3 linked regions of the Tribolium castaneum genome follow. The protein of the gene in region 2 purifies or fractionates together with the protein of the main gene of each other region. This does not show direct contact. Links are inferred from orthologs where the notes say so. Each region holds a gene or a part of one and is shown on either strand. Other genes may lie near its edges.

What was found. Proteins that work in one complex are often made in the same cells at the same time.
Region 1: the proteins of Polr3K (region 2) and Polr3H purify together in Homo sapiens (affinity purification with mass spectrometry; 3 studies listed by BioGRID and IntAct, with this or other methods). This does not show direct contact. The link is inferred for Tribolium castaneum from reciprocal best matches to the Homo sapiens genes POLR3K and POLR3H.
Region 3: the proteins of Polr3K (region 2) and Pdrg1 purify together in Homo sapiens (affinity purification with mass spectrometry; 3 studies listed by BioGRID and IntAct, with this or other methods). This does not show direct contact. The link is inferred for Tribolium castaneum from reciprocal best matches to the Homo sapiens genes POLR3K and PDRG1.

The regions. Positions count from the first base shown.
Region 1 is NC_087394.1:25,642,909-25,648,580, forward strand, and holds the start of Polr3H (DNA-directed RNA polymerase III subunit RPC8), read left to right. Parts: upstream 1-2,766; 5' UTR 2,767-2,860; coding exon 2,861-2,971; intron 2,972-3,017; coding exon 3,018-3,201; intron 3,202-3,248; coding exon 3,249-3,502; intron 3,503-3,557; coding exon 3,558-3,608; 3' UTR 3,609-3,609; intron 3,610-3,650; exon of another isoform or gene 3,651-3,932; coding exon of another isoform or gene 3,933-4,081; intron 4,082-4,133; coding exon of another isoform or gene 4,134-4,282; intron 4,283-5,672. Other genes in the region: putative ATP-dependent RNA helicase TDRD12, read right to left, coding at 1-77, 123-277, 725-1,283, 1,684-2,068, 2,119-2,462; F-box/LRR-repeat protein 16, read right to left, coding at 3,933-4,081, 4,134-4,282.
Region 2 is NC_087403.1:7,843,239-7,848,640, reverse strand, and holds Polr3K (DNA-directed RNA polymerase III subunit RPC10), read right to left. Parts: upstream 2,616-5,402; 5' UTR 2,531-2,615; coding exon 2,390-2,530; intron 2,339-2,389; coding exon 2,153-2,338; 3' UTR 2,150-2,152; downstream 1-2,149. Other genes in the region: Plekhm1 (pleckstrin homology domain-containing family M member 1), read right to left, coding at 1,138-1,455; Tcs1 (threonylcarbamoyl-AMP synthase), read right to left, coding at 1,448-2,149. UniProt on the Homo sapiens protein: Core component of RNA polymerase III (Pol III) which synthesizes small non-coding RNAs using the four ribonucleoside triphosphates as substrates. Can mediate Pol I proofreading of the nascent RNA transcript.
Region 3 is NC_087396.1:22,906,151-22,910,147, reverse strand, and holds Pdrg1 (p53 and DNA damage-regulated protein 1), read right to left. Parts: upstream 1,175-3,997; coding exon 886-1,174; intron 838-885; coding exon 671-837; 3' UTR 607-670; downstream 1-606. Other genes in the region: Datp (bis(5'-nucleosyl)-tetraphosphatase [asymmetrical]), read right to left, coding at 53-369, 414-519; Prosbeta5 (proteasome subunit beta type-5), read left to right, coding at 1,248-1,382, 1,429-1,821, 1,869-2,180; Pgi (glucose-6-phosphate isomerase), read left to right, coding at 2,347-2,606, 2,746-3,054, 3,107-3,380, 3,432-3,671. UniProt on the Homo sapiens protein: May play a role in chaperone-mediated protein folding.

The sequences.
Region 1 (5,672 bases), on a different chromosome or scaffold from region 2:
AGTAAATTGAGGACTTTTGTCATTTGTTGTTCGCAGTTTTCGTCAATCATCAAAAAACATTTGGGTTTGACTTCTTCCTACAAGAATTGTTAATTTTAAATTGATTCAGATGCGAATTATACTTCATTTGTTTCCCAAGGACTCTTGTAATGTGAGGACAAAGCGCTGAAACGTTTGATAAATCGGGTCCAAGTTGCGGAAAATGAGTAACTGACGAGCCACATGGCGTCGGTGATGCACAATAATGAGTCGAAAATAAAATCCGTGCACAGTAACACTGAAATTTAAAAAAATCGCCTCATTTTATTAAAAACAAATCATATTTTACTATATTATCAGAAGCTATAAAGTGTGTTTTCACCCGTAGTTGAAGGACAAAGATAAAGGTGACATTTTCAAGGCTAACAAATCTTTCATTTCTCAGAATTTTGTTAGTTCGATAACTTTTTTAAAGTTTCCATTATTCAATTGAGAAGAAACTGCTCTTTTTAAAAATATTAAATTTGACCCTTGTCAAAAAAAATTAAGTAAGTTTTGTATCTCCAAAAAAATGGAGATAGAAATTTGAGACGATAGAATTTAAATACTTTAAATACCTGTATAAATAGCTATTAAGTGAAAACTGTGGTAACGAATTACCAATGAAGGAACTTAATACAAACAAGTAATTTTAATTTGGTAATTAGGGCAATAATATCAATAGATGGAGCCACATTAAACCTACCTTTGTATTGGCCACCTCTCATAAAAGCCCATTCTTCCTCACAAACCTCGATTTGTTCCTTAGTCGAATCATCATTTAAAGCCATGACTTCGATGCCGTTTCGAACCAACCATTTATTCAAATCGCTTATTTCATTATTATGGCACACAACAATAGTTTTAAAAAGATGACTCTTGTCTCTTAATAATCCTTCAATGTAGTGTTTCTTGTTTTGTGACACTAAAAACTTTACTTCGAATTGGATGTTCCCATATAGAGCTGCTTCCAAATAATTCCCTATGCAAACAAGTGGTGTTACATAAATCGATTTGAGTAATTTTTGCAAATCCGATGTCCATTTTGTTGAAGCTACTATGAATTGGACTTTGGTGCTACACATCCTGTGTTCAAGCATTTCATCAGTGACTTCCAAAATTTTGTAAATTTCTTCGTGATTGTTTTTTAGTAAACAACTCGCGTCTTCTAACACCAAGTGACACATTCGTTTCAAATTAAAAGTCCGAGATTTAAGGCAATGTGTAAGAGTGCTGGGGATTGTAATCACGATATCAACGCTGTTCTGAAAATAACAAATGACTAAAAAATAGTCAAGCGCGATCATTTGAATTTATAAAAAGAGTAGGTGTTTTTTTCTTTGTGATTGTTAAGCTGGTGCAAACTGAAGGAAAAATCTATTTTAACTGAGTATTACCGTTCGAAACAGTATTATTACTTGACTCTTCGGCTTGATTAATTATGATAATCGGCGTTTTCATATAAGTTAAAAAACTAATAAGCCCACTCTGGTTATAAATTCTAATGATCTCATGATATGTTTCCCTTCACACGATTGGTCGCATTCGTGTTATTGCCATGGTTATCTGCTGTAACTATGGTTACAAGAGAATTTGTCAGTGGAAACCAACAGATGGCCCCACACAATGCGACCAGCTACGTGAAGGGCAAGCTGTGTGACTTACAATGTGGTGGACTGGATATGTCATGAGGGCAATTTTTGGTTTAGTGGCACTATTTTCAAACAGTTTTTTCATCAAATCGTATACATCTTCACAATGTTTGCTGTTTGGACAAATAATAACCACTAACGGGCCCTTGTACTTTGATAATTGTCGATATTTTTCCTCTTCAGCTGTACTGAAGGTACAAAGGGCCGGGAGATACGACATGGTTTTCCCCGACTTAGGCCCCCCTACCATAACAACATTCAATTGTCTGAAAATTGCGGGCCAGACGAATGATTGGATTGGTAAACTATACTTGTAGTTAAGGCGACCCAAAGCAGCTTGAATTTCGTCGCTAAAGTAGGTGTCTGTTAGCAACTTTACAGGCTGGGGGATCACCTCCCTGAAATTATTTTTCAATAATTTTAATTGGTCTAAAGTGGCGCAAAGTACCCGTGAACTAGGGTCTTCAAGTAGCTTTGTTTCTCAATTTTTGTCAATGTGCCAGGATTGAAAGTGAAGATCTTAGGGGTTTTCCCTGGATGTCGTGCCGATCGTAACAAGGGTTGAATCTTCCGCTCTTTGCAAACACGTTTGTGGTGCCCCTCGAACTCCAAATCCGGCGTTGTCCAGTCGGCGCTTTGGGTCCAATGGACGCAGTTCTGGCACTCACACGCCGGTTTCATGAACATCTCTGGATTGTCGATTTCGGGCTCAAAAGTCTGCTTTGGGGCTCCATCACTATCGGAGTGTTTTTGCTCGTCGCTGTCGAAAGGGTCTTTCTCCCTGGTGGCCATTGCGACTGAAAGGCCTTAAGTAGGGCAAAAACGTGTGCAAATTCACAAAAACACACCACAACAAAACACAACAAAAATTATTTAATTCTAGGGACTTCCAAATTTGAATGATGCAACCTGTTGCAAATATGAATAGTCTCCAAAAAGTAATTTTCGGAATTTCGGCTTTAAAACAATTACTGAAACAGTTGCATAACTAATCCCACGGTAAATTGTTACCAAATTCGGGTTTCTTATTGTAATAACTTTGCGAAATTAATTTTAAAAACTCTGGAAAATACGTTAGTTTATTTGGGTTTATAGATTGGTACCACTATTCCATGTGTTTTCGGCGCGTCCTGTGCAACACAACCTCAAAATTTCACGAAGCTGTTAACAAGTTTAACAATTGTTAAACGATGTTTATAGTGGCTGAAATGAAAAATGTGACCCGAATACCCCCCGAACTGTTCAACTTGAAACTAAACGACGCCATAGCCGGAGAATTAAACAAAAAACTAGCAAACAAGGTGAGATTAGAAGCACATTTCAGCCCCTTTTAACCCCCAGTTTAAGGTAGTCCTCAACGTTGGTTTGTGTATAGCTTTATACGACATTACCAGTCTCCAAGAATCGTTTATATTTCCCGGTGATGGGGCTTCACACACTAGAGTCAGCTTCAGGTACATCGTTTTTCGCCCCTTTATTGAGGAGATTCTCGTGGGGAAAATCAGGAGTTGCAGTCAGGAAGGGGTTCACGGTACGACAATTATATTGTGAAATGTTAAATATGATTGCGAATTTTAGTGACTCTTGGTTTCTTTGACGATATTTTGATCCCTCCCAGTGCCCTTCAGCACCCTTCAAAGTTTAACGAAACTGAACAAGCATGGGTGTGGGAGTATGACACAGGAGACGGGTGCAAACATGACCTTTTCATGGATGCTGGTGAAACGATCAAATTTCGCGTAACTGCGGAGTTTTTTAATGAGACTTGCCCCACTGGTAGTTTACAAGAAACACAAGACAAGTCCGAAAATAAAGTGCCGTATAGTTTAACTGTAAGAAAAAAACTTGGGTTTGTATGACTTGATTAAAATTATTTGTTTGTCACAGGGGAGCATAAATGAGCCAGGTTTGGGATTGTTGTCTTGGTGGGATAATTAAGGTAATTAATTTTATGGAAGGGATATAAAGTATGAACGTGTGTAAAATATCATTCTGATTTACTTGCGAAACATATTCTCATTATTTACACCACATTAACTAAATTAAAACTAGGGAAAAGTCGAATCAAACACGAGACAAGGTGACGAACGATACCGAATTAAACCGTAAAATCACAGCTTTCTTGATCAGTAACACATTGTGTGGCGCCATCTGTTGTTATTTTTCTGTCAATTTGTGATTGGTCAAGAAAGCCGTGTGTAAAATAATCGAGTGTTATTGCACAATCTAGTATCAAATATAACAAGTGGACAAGTGGTTCACTTATTCTATAACGAGGCAACGCGGAAGATGTTCTCTCAAATAATCGAAAAGTTCTTTTGATGCCCCTGGACAATTTGTTAATTCTAATTCTCTCATATGTCGTAACTGAATCAGACTTGATAAACCACTAGAAGTCAATAATGGACACCCTGAAATTTCGAATTCAGTTATTTATGTCATTATTTGTGGTATGTGGCAGACCTGCTAACGATAGTATTTGCAAATTTCTCATTCCGCATAAATGCTGAAGTCCAAAGTCTCGAATTTGTGAACACCAGCGCAGATAGAGTGCAGATAGAGACAACATTGTTGAAATGTAACCAATGCCAATGTCGGTGATGTGAACACATCTGTGAAATAAAGCGAATAAAGCGGATTGCGTTTTGATCAGTGGCCACCAGTTATTGCAACTTTAAAAAATACATTAAACACAATGCAAGTGTTTCTGCTAAAAGTATTTTTTACTATATCTCAAAAACTAATAATCGCATAGGAATCACGGTGTGTTGCTTTATATTTAATGTTTTTTTCCACACAAGTGAATTTTTTCAGAATTTTTTACCCTCCCTTATAGAGTTATTTATAAAAATATTAAGATCAGTATTAATAGTAATTAATACTAGTAATTAATATCAGTAATATCAGTAAAAATAAACATAAACTAATGGAAATTTTATTATTTATAGTGTTATCCTGAAACAAGGTTTTGGACAAAAAATTGATAATAAGCTTAATCTACCACCGCAGCATGTATTTAAATATTTTTTAATTAAAAATTAAAAAATAAAAAATTGGGAAAAATTACTTTTAGGATTTTTTGCACAAAATAACATCTTAAAATGCTTAAGAAATAATTAATTAATACAGATTGGAGTTTTATGAGGTTAAAACTTACTTTAATTAGGAAGCAAAAAATATTGGAAAAACAGAAATTACGTGTTAAAATCTGGTATTTTCCGATATATTTTTTTAATTCCTACATCAGGAATAATAAAAACATATTTTTTATTGTAAAACATTCTATTACAAAAACAAACAAAACGAAATATCTTTTGTAAAAAATTTTCTTGTTGAAAAAAATTGTTATTTATTGTATAAGGGTCTTAGATGTATTTTATCTCCGTAAAGATTTAAACTCGAGAAGTAAATTCGAGCGTTTAATTAAGGGGATAAAAAAAGAAGTTAATTAATCGTTTAACTTAAATATTGTTTTAAATTTGCTGGTGTAAAATTGGTTCGTTTTCTGTAAGAATTTCTTTCAACCAAAAAATGAACTCACTGTATCTATTTTTTATAAAAAAAAATTACACTACTTTAAACATTACAACATTAAAAAGTAATTTAGTCTGCAACTAGCATTTTTCCCTAGAAAGTAGAAGATACTGAAAATGAGAAACACTAATAATTGAAACACACAGTCTAAAATAAAAAATCAATATACTCGTATTAAGAGACTGAAATGCTAAAATGCTTACAAGCTGAATTAAAAAAATAAAAAAATAGTGAAATTGAATTCTATACACGGTGATTCAAAAGTACCGTACAATTTCTTGGGTGCTGAATTAAAAGTTCCTATGACAAAAAATTGTTTGAACCCTCTTTCACGAGATTTAGGTCTTCAAACTTAAATTTTTAAGTTAATTTTTGTTTCATATCATACTTTTTGACTTTCGTTAGCGAGCTCTTGCAACATTAAACAAATACAAATTAAAAAAAACAACAATTAATGTATAATGATGT
Region 2 (5,402 bases):
CAAACTTGACCGAAGTGGATTTTTTTACGCTTGGCCACTTCGGCCCACCTTCGTAATGAACTCAGAACACAATTTTAATATATTATTAGAAAAACAATATAATTAAATTAAAAGACATTTTTACCAAAAAAAATCTCCGTAGTAGGGTACCATATATTTAATTTTTTTTTGAATAATTCCAAAACTAAAAAGAATTTTGAAAAAAAAAATTTTCAAAAATGATCACATTTTAGAAGTGTTGGATGATGTACTAATTAGTTTTTTTTAAGGTACATAGTTTTGACACAAAACGCTTGGTTCCATACTTTTGCCTAATACTGTATGTAAATACAGGTTGTCTATGCAATCTGAAAAAGTCCATTATTGACCTTTAAATCTTTTTTTACGAAAGCGGTACATAATAACCCCCTGACTCTCTTAAAACTATTTTCAAATATACAGGGTGACTCCGAAATTAACTACAACACAAACTTATATTTTTTTAAATGGAACAACCTATATTTTTTGCATTTTTGAATGTAGGTTTTAACACTGATTGTTATTGGTCGATTTTGCTTTGTTTTTGAAATAATTTGATTTTTTTGACAAAAACATGCTTTTTAAAAAACTCAGGAGAGTAAAACTTTCACCACTTTAAAGAAGAACATTCAAACTTCAAGGATATACTGGATGACCCTGGGGTGTGTAATCGGTCTGTGCTATTTGAAATAATGTCAATATTTTCTTAGTCTATAGACTAAGAAGTCTGTTGGAAAATAAAATAATGAATTGATGACAATAAATAATAATTTTTGCAGCCACTTAATATTAATTTAATAAGTTTTATTTTTCAACACTGTCAAAATTTACGGTTTTTCTCTTGTGTAAGAAAGTTTTGACAACTGTTTGGCATTTCTCAATGCGAAACGTCAGATTATTTTTGACAAATTTAAAATAAAATAAAAATAAAATGTTGTATTCATCTCGTTTTTGTGTAAATCGGTGACCACTCGACGTTTAAAAATCCACTCAGCAACAGAGCGTCAGATTTACACTCAAACTCGGTAAATAACTATTAATTATGAGGAACTGTACCAAAATTCTGAATTATGTGCGTTAGTTTTTGAGAATTGGAAAAAATGCTAAATCCTTTGTTACCTGGTCTATGATTTGTCGATGTGATATGACAAGTAAGGGGGCCCAGAAGCTGGGCTCTGGCCGTTCGTCAACATCTGCAATGGCCCTTTTGAACCTTTTACTCAAGGAGTCCTTCAAACCGTGCAGAAAAATAGCTTCAATCGTCATACACAGCGTGTTCGAAGCTTCGGTAACATCCTCAGCTTTATTGAGTCCATTTTCTTCAACTCCGCAATACTGTATCGCTTTCACACTATTCGACAAGTGATCCGTGATCGACTTCTTAATTAAATTGTCTTTATTACTCGACGTGTGCACACTTTTAAACAACTTATTCATGTTTGTTAATTAACCCGAACTTGTGCAAAATCGCAACAGTTTTATCAACCGCAATACCGTGTCGCACGATTGTGAACAAACCGCATTCTGATAAGTCAATAACGGTGGACGCACGTCGTCTCGAATCGTCAAGTCCTAAATTACCACCGTCAAAAACTGCACCAACCTGAGCCCACAAGTCTTGAAATTCGTTGATTGTTAACGAACTTGGCTCGTTGCTTAAATTGGCACTTGTGAGGGCCAAAGGGCGTCCCAAACCGCGGGCCAAAGCCCGAATAAAGTGATAATCGGGGATTCGAATCCCCACTTTAGCGTTAAAACTGAGTGACTTATCAAGTGTGCTTGCACTAGTCAGAATGACAGTCACTGGGCCTGGGAGCAGACTTTCGAGCAAACCTTGGGGCAAGTGCCCGATTTTGGCCCAAGCCTTCACCTGGGGGACGTCCCCGAGACAGATCGCCACAGGTTTGGCTTCGTTGCGCCCCTTAATGCTATAGAGTTTGTTAATTGAGGTTATGTTCGTCGCGTCACAGGCAAGTCCGTAGACGGTGTCCGTAGGGAGGGCGATCACGCGGCCCGACTTTAACAAATCAACGGCTAAAGCCTCAGCATGTGGGTCCCTGATGGGGACGTGCAATGCCATAGAAGCCCGCTTCGGGGAGAGTTTTTTGAAAAGGGGGGCGAAAAAACGCATCGCCTACTCTCGCCAGTTGTGGGCGCATTCGGGGTTGCAGCAGCGGTAGAAGTTGGTCATGGGCTCGTCAGCAGAGCGGGTCTGGACCTGGAGGAAGTAGGCGTGGGGGTGGCTGCATTCTGGACACGTTTCCGCTGTTACGTCGCAGTTTTTCCAGGCGTCTTCGCCGCCGAGCACGTCATCAACGGACTGAAAGCGTGACGGAGTTGGAACAATGATAGTGGGTTATTTGGGTTTTACCTTCACTTGGAAGTACGTGCGATTCGAGATTTTTCCACGAATGGGGAATGACACGGGGCAGATGCGACACGCAAAACCTAATCGGCCGCAGGTCTGTTGAGCGAATAGCAAATTTCCACAGAAAGGACAAAACACAACCATGACCCGTGATTATTATGATGAAATTCAACTTGAATTCACATGTGTCAAAAATTGACAATGACAGCGCACGGTGGGTTGGCAGCGCTGGGGCGAGGGCACCAACACAAAATTCGTATTCTATTTTATTTAAATTATAAATTATAACAAATATTCAGCCACTTACGGCCTTAGTTATTTTGTCAACTAATTACTTCACTAATTTGCTCCGCTTTTTATATAGTCGAATTAAATAAGACATATTTTCAATTAAAATAAACAAGGACAATTTTACAATGATTAATTTAATTTAAAATAATATGGTTCAAACATTTTCCTATACCACATTACTTAACTAAGTAATAAAAAAATTATAAGAATTACAAAGAAAAATAATTAAAAACGTTGTGTTTTATGGGTTGCCTATACTAAACTCGGTGGTATTGAGCACTTGGTTCATTTTGTTAATTTCGTTTTAAAGGTTTTGATTTTTATCTCTCTCGCTAAATGAGAATTCAATATAATTTTTTCAATTTTCCTGACAAAAAAAATAAACACTATGGTAATTGGTTCAAAATCATTAGGATAATTTACAAGGGCCGTAGCCAGCGTAGGGCCCCACAGGGCGAAGCCCTTCCTAAACAAATTTCAGGTCATACGTTTTATAAAAATTTAAATAGAGAAGTTTATAATATTTTTTTTTCTTTCTTTGTTATTACTTAAGTAAATTTTGAAATAGACATCATTTTAGCTATTTCAAAAACACCATAAACATGGATGTTTTTTATTTTTTAAAGTTGAAGCGACAGAGGGTCATCAGATGGACATGCAACATCAAGTATGCATTTTTTTTTTAAGAAAAATATATCTAGTAATAATTATTACTCCACTTGGATTTTGACTTATTTTTAGCAAAATTTAATAACAAACGAGAAAGGAAATTAAGCTTTATGAATTATGTTAGGGGAAATACCTACAAAATAACATACATCGTTTGGCAAAAGTATGAAGCTAATTGTTATGTGCCTAAACTATGTACTTTAAGAAAAACTAATTATTACATTATCAACTACTTTAAAAATATTTTTTTAATTCCTTTTAGTTTTCGATTTTTTTTTCAAATAGCACCCTACTACGGCAATTTATTTTTATATTATATTTATATTTTTTATATTATTTATATTTTGTTTTTCTTCGTTTGTTATGTATTTTTGATCCTTTATAAACTTCATTAATAATAATTTACCAACATGAGTACATTTAAATTTTCTTTGCCCTTCTATTATTCTATTCTACGAGGGTGGGATGATTAAGTCGTGGCCTCACATAGAAAATAATAATTTGGCCAAACATTTTTTGCTTTACTTTTCACTATAACCTCCTTCTAGTTATGTGCACTTGGTCAATCGGTGTTCCGAAGTCTTTATCCCATCCTTATGGGTCGATTCCGGTAACTCTTCAAAAAAATTGCTCTCTATAAGAGACCACGAATTAATCCATCCTTGTATTGATAATTCAGGGAGAAATAAGCCTCATTTAAAAAAAATACAAAAACTAATTTTTGACACTACAGAAGCGATATGTAGAAGATTTCTTATTACAGTTGAAATACTCAATACAGTCGTTCCTTTTTGATGTTTGATCATTGATCAATGATCATATTCTAACTCACACAGTGCACATTTCCTACAGTGCCGTACTGAGCCTCGGATTCGTGGAACACGGGCCCGGGTCCCGATGGCCCTTTCCTTTGTCTAAATACAAATTAAAAAAAAAATAAAAGTTATAATATTTTTTATTAGCCGTTAAAATTAGATTAGAAAGACAAAAAATTGTTTTGTCTGCTTATGAGTACCAAGACTTTTCAATCTCCCCAGAAAAAATAATTAGAAACGGTGGATTTTCTTTATATTACAGTTACACAGGTATAATACCTACCCAATAAATTACAATTGCCTAAAAACATCAGGTGTACAAACTAACATCAACGACTTCAATGTTTATGAATAAATAACTTTGTTAAAATTGTCAACAATTAAAACAATAACAGTCAAAGTTATACAATTAAAAAAATTGATGAAGCTCAAGCTTTTAAAAAAACATTGGGAACGTTTGAATCGATATTTTTGATTGTACTATAAAAAGTAAAATATTACAAATTATAGGTAGATGTTGTATTTAATTTATTACTAAGAGAACAATGAATAAACTTCGCAAACAATTTATTGAATTAAAACGTTAGCTGAAAGTTTATACTAAGAAGGGCTTCTTGAGCAAAACTTTTTTGACGAATCTCGTAAGAAAAAGTTCCACATTTGAAGCTAGAAACGATCACCAAAGTTAGAGGCATTTCCTTAATTGTTTCTCCACTTTTGGGAACATTTGGCGAACGGTTTGGCAAATACTGCAAAGTAGAATTCTCGTAAATAAAAACCTCTTGACATTAAGCTTGTTTCAAAATGAGGTACAATGTCGAAATAGGGAACGGAAATAGCAACAGTTTGAAACACATCGATTTGAATAAATGTGTGATATAACAGTGAGAGACAAATGTGGAATTCTGTATCACTGGCTGGTAGTAACATATGAGTTGATATTAGAAATGACCTCAAAGAATTGCAAAAGCTTGTAAGAATTTGTCGTTGCGTACTCTTGGCAATAAAAAGGTGTGATGAAATTTGCAAAGAGCGAAATTGTGGATGGGCGGAAAAGGAAGTATGAAAGTGATCCAGAAGTGAAAAAGTCTAAAGTGGGTACATACCTGTTTGGATATGCAATGCATTTAGTGTGAATCCATAATTTATCCCTAAATATTTGGAGAGTTACGTAAGCTAATTAGGAATGAATAAAATCTTCCGAGCGCGCCATATATGACCATAAATAATTCTGAAGGTCA
Region 3 (3,997 bases), on a different chromosome or scaffold from region 2:
ACATTGAATAATTAATTTTATTATTTTTTTATTTAATAATATATAACAATAATTAGTTTTTGTTGGAACGTATATAATTATCGAAAAACTGGAGCGACTCTTGGAGGTCGGCGTATTTTGCATAAGTGCAAGCGTCGTCGAGTTTCAACCACTTGAAGTCTTGGTGCTCCTCTGATAATTTCACCTCAGCCTTGGGGTTTGTGAGTTCGGCAAGCCAGTAAATAACTTTCTTGGGTTTCCCCTTTACGTTGTAATTTAAAATTTTCTTCACATCGTCGAAGATTTTCAAATCTTCCTGCTTCAAACCGGACTCTTCCATCGTTTCCCGAAGGGCAGTCACCATCTCAGTCTCACCAGGGTCCACATGCCCTGACAAAACATTATTATTTTTGAAAGGAAAAACTGAAGGTTACCTTTAGGAGGGGTCCAGTGGTGTTCGCCATACGAAGTTTGCAATAAAAGATACAAAATATTATCGCAGGCCTTTTTATAAATCACAAAGCCGGCCGCAACTTTCATTTGAAATTTTACGTAAATCGAATTAAAAATTAAAAGGTGAGGTTAGATTCAACCGGTTAAACTGTCAGAAGTGTCAAACAATAAATTTGAGAAACGTTTGTATTTACAATTATTTAATTGTGGACTTGGGACTGACAAAATCTTAATTAATTTACACTGCACCGAACGCTTTATGTAACGCTTTAGCCTCTGCCGAGGAAATGGGTTTCAAGGTGAAGCCCTCTAACCTTGGTTCATGTTCCAAATCCCTTAATTTATGGATTTTGCTCTTAATATTTTTATCCAACTCTAAAATATCCTTATCAGCGTTTGCAATTTCTAAAAAACTTTGGTCAGAATATTGTAAAAAAAATATTTTTTGCGGACCTGTTTTTAAAATCTCCTTACATTCACTAGTCGGTCGTTCAATAAAAACTGAACCGAGCTGCATCCAAGCCCTTCGGTCCTCTGTGCCCTCCAGGGCCCTCAGGGCTTCCCTAAACTTATTCCTGGAATTGGACAAATCCAACTTTGTTTCTTTTTCAGTTAAAATGTCTTGCGCTAGAGTTTCCACCTCGTATAAGTATTGAAACGATTTCTGGTTTTGCACGTCTTGGAATTGGGACATTTTCTCACAACAAGACGTAACTTTACACACCATAACCACCACCATCATCCATTTGACATTAGAGGTTAGGTGCTAGTTGTGTTTTCGCACCGTCATTTGAACCAAACAAAACTGCCCCAAAATGGCTTTAGCCGAGATTTGCGGAATGTCGGACTTCGACACCTTCAGACGCGAAGCCCCCTTCGACAACGAAATCGCCAAAATGAGCAACAACTTCACCCACAACACTTTGCTCAGCGTACCCCCCTATTCTAACGTAAGTAGCCCCTTGAAAATACCCCCAGATAACAAATTTGTGACAGCCGGCCGAGAACCTGGCCTACTTCTCGAAGGACGAGTCAGGTCGGGACATCAAAATCAAGTTTGACCACGGCACCACCACGCTGGGGTTCATGTACAAGGGGGGCGTAGTGCTCGCCGTGGACTCCCGAGCCACGGGGGGCCAATTCATCGGCTCCCAAACCATGAAGAAAATCGTCGAAATCAATGATTTTCTCCTGGGGACTTTGGCCGGGGGCGCCGCTGACTGTGTGTATTGGGACCGCGTCCTGGCTAAGCAGTGCCGCATGTACGAATTACGCAACCGGGAGCGGATTTCGGTCGCAGCCGCCTCGAAACTGATGGCCAACATGGTGTATAATTACAAGGGGATGGGGCTGTCAATGGGCATGATGCTGGCAGGATGGGACAAAAGGGTATTTATTTGAACAAGTTAGACCGCTTGATCAGTGTTGTTGTTCAGGGGCCCCAGCTGTATTACGTGGATTCGGAGGGGACCAGAACCCCTGGGAAAGTCTTCAGTGTTGGCTCGGGCTCCATTTATGCGTTTGGCGTCCTGGATTCGGGGTACAAGTGGGATTTGACGGATGAGGAGGCGTATGATTTGGGGCGCCGGTCGATTTACCATGCCACCCATCGGGACGCCTATTCTGGTGGTATCGTCAGGGTGTACCATATGAAGCCGACCGGCTGGGTGCATATTGATAACAACGACTGTATGGACTTGCACTACAAATACCAGGACGAGAAGTTGCAGGAAATAAATAAGGTTTAGCTTTGTAATGAATTAAATTGAATAAATTTTTTTAACATAGTTGGCGTTTGTTTTTCCCTGTCATTCCTGTCATTGTCACTATGACGCATCCAAATTCAAGTTTAATTAATAATTTGCGGTAAGTGGATTGATTAATTAAAATTAGTTGTGAGAAATCAATAATTAGATGAGAGTTTCTCGTCTGAAGTATGTAATTTGTATTTATCACACCGTGCGCTGCGCGTGCCCAATCGGCGACGATGAAAAACACAAAACGATCGCCAAACAATCGAAAGGCGTGACTTTGACATCTGACAGCATGGAAGTCGGACCCTTGACTTCGGAGCCAACTTGGCAACAACTCCAAGATTATTACAACAAGAACGCCTCAAAGCTGGTGATTAAGGACCTTTTCGCCCAGGACCCGAACCGCTTCAACAACTTCAGGTGAGTGTCAAGCGCGTTTCATTGAAAAATCGCCCGGAAAATTGGAAAAGCCGAGTGACCTCTACGCGTCCTTGCACTGGAGTTTGTTTTCACTAACCGGAGGCCACTGAGATAATATTATTGTTTGATTTTTTTTCAGCTTGAAGCTGAAAACGCCCAACGATGGCGACATCCTGGTCGATTATTCGAAAAACCGCATCAATTCCGATGTTCTCAAACTGTTGTTTTCCTTGGCCCGCGCCCGCAAGGTCGAAAATGCACGCGATGCAATGTTTTCCGGGCAGAAAATCAACTTTACAGAGGACAGGGCCGTACTGCACACGGCTTTGCGTAATCGCTCCAATCAGGCGATTCTAGTCGATGGGAAAAATGTGATGCCGGAGGTGAATGCGGTCCTGGAGCACATGAAGCAGTTCACTAATTCGGTCCTGAGCGGGCAGTGGAAGGGGTAATTAATTCAATTATTGTTGCATAATAACAGGTAATTTTTTCGCTTTCAGTTACACAGGCAAGCCCATCACCGACGTGGTGAATATTGGCATCGGGGGCTCCGACCTGGGCCCCCTTATGGTGACCGAAGCCCTGAAGGCGTACGGTCGCGGCTTGCGAATGCATTTCGTGTCGAACATCGACGGTACGCATTTAGCCGAAGTTTTGAAAAAAATCGACGCTGAGTCTGTACTTTTTATCATTGCTTCGAAAACATTCACAACACAGGAGACAATAACCAATGCCACTTCGGCCAAGCAGTGGTTCTTAACCCATGCTAAAGATGTAATTTGCTTGCAAAAATGCAATTTTTTGTTGTTTTAACTGGGTTTTTAGCCTGCTGCTGTTGCTAAACATTTCGTTGCTTTGAGCACAAATGGGCCGAAAGTGAAGGAGTTTGGCATCGATACGGCCAATATGTTTGAGTTTTGGGACTGGGTTGGAGGTAGGTATTCCCTGTGGTCCGCTATCGGGCTTAGTATTTCGCTGGCGATTGGGTTCGAGAATTTTCTCCAGTTGTTGGAAGGGGCGCATTATATGGATAACCACTTCAGGTCGGCGCCCTTGGAACAGAACGTAAGTATCGATTCCCGGCAATATTGATTAATTACGAACCAGCAATACTTGAAAATATGTATTTATTTTGATTTGGTCAACTGGACTCTATAGAATTCGCTCGGTTAAAAAACGGTTTAGTTCGCTTGGTTTGACCAGTTATAGCTTAAAACAACAACTGTAGAAGAGAAAAATAGAGATTCTGAGCAAAAAAGGAATTTTGAAATTGTCGAAAAAAGAACGTAAAACTAGTTTTATAACAAACTTACAAACTTTATTTTTAATCAGCAAACAGTATCGTGAAATAAATAACTAGTAGTTGTAGTAGGAACTCAAGGTCTTAACAA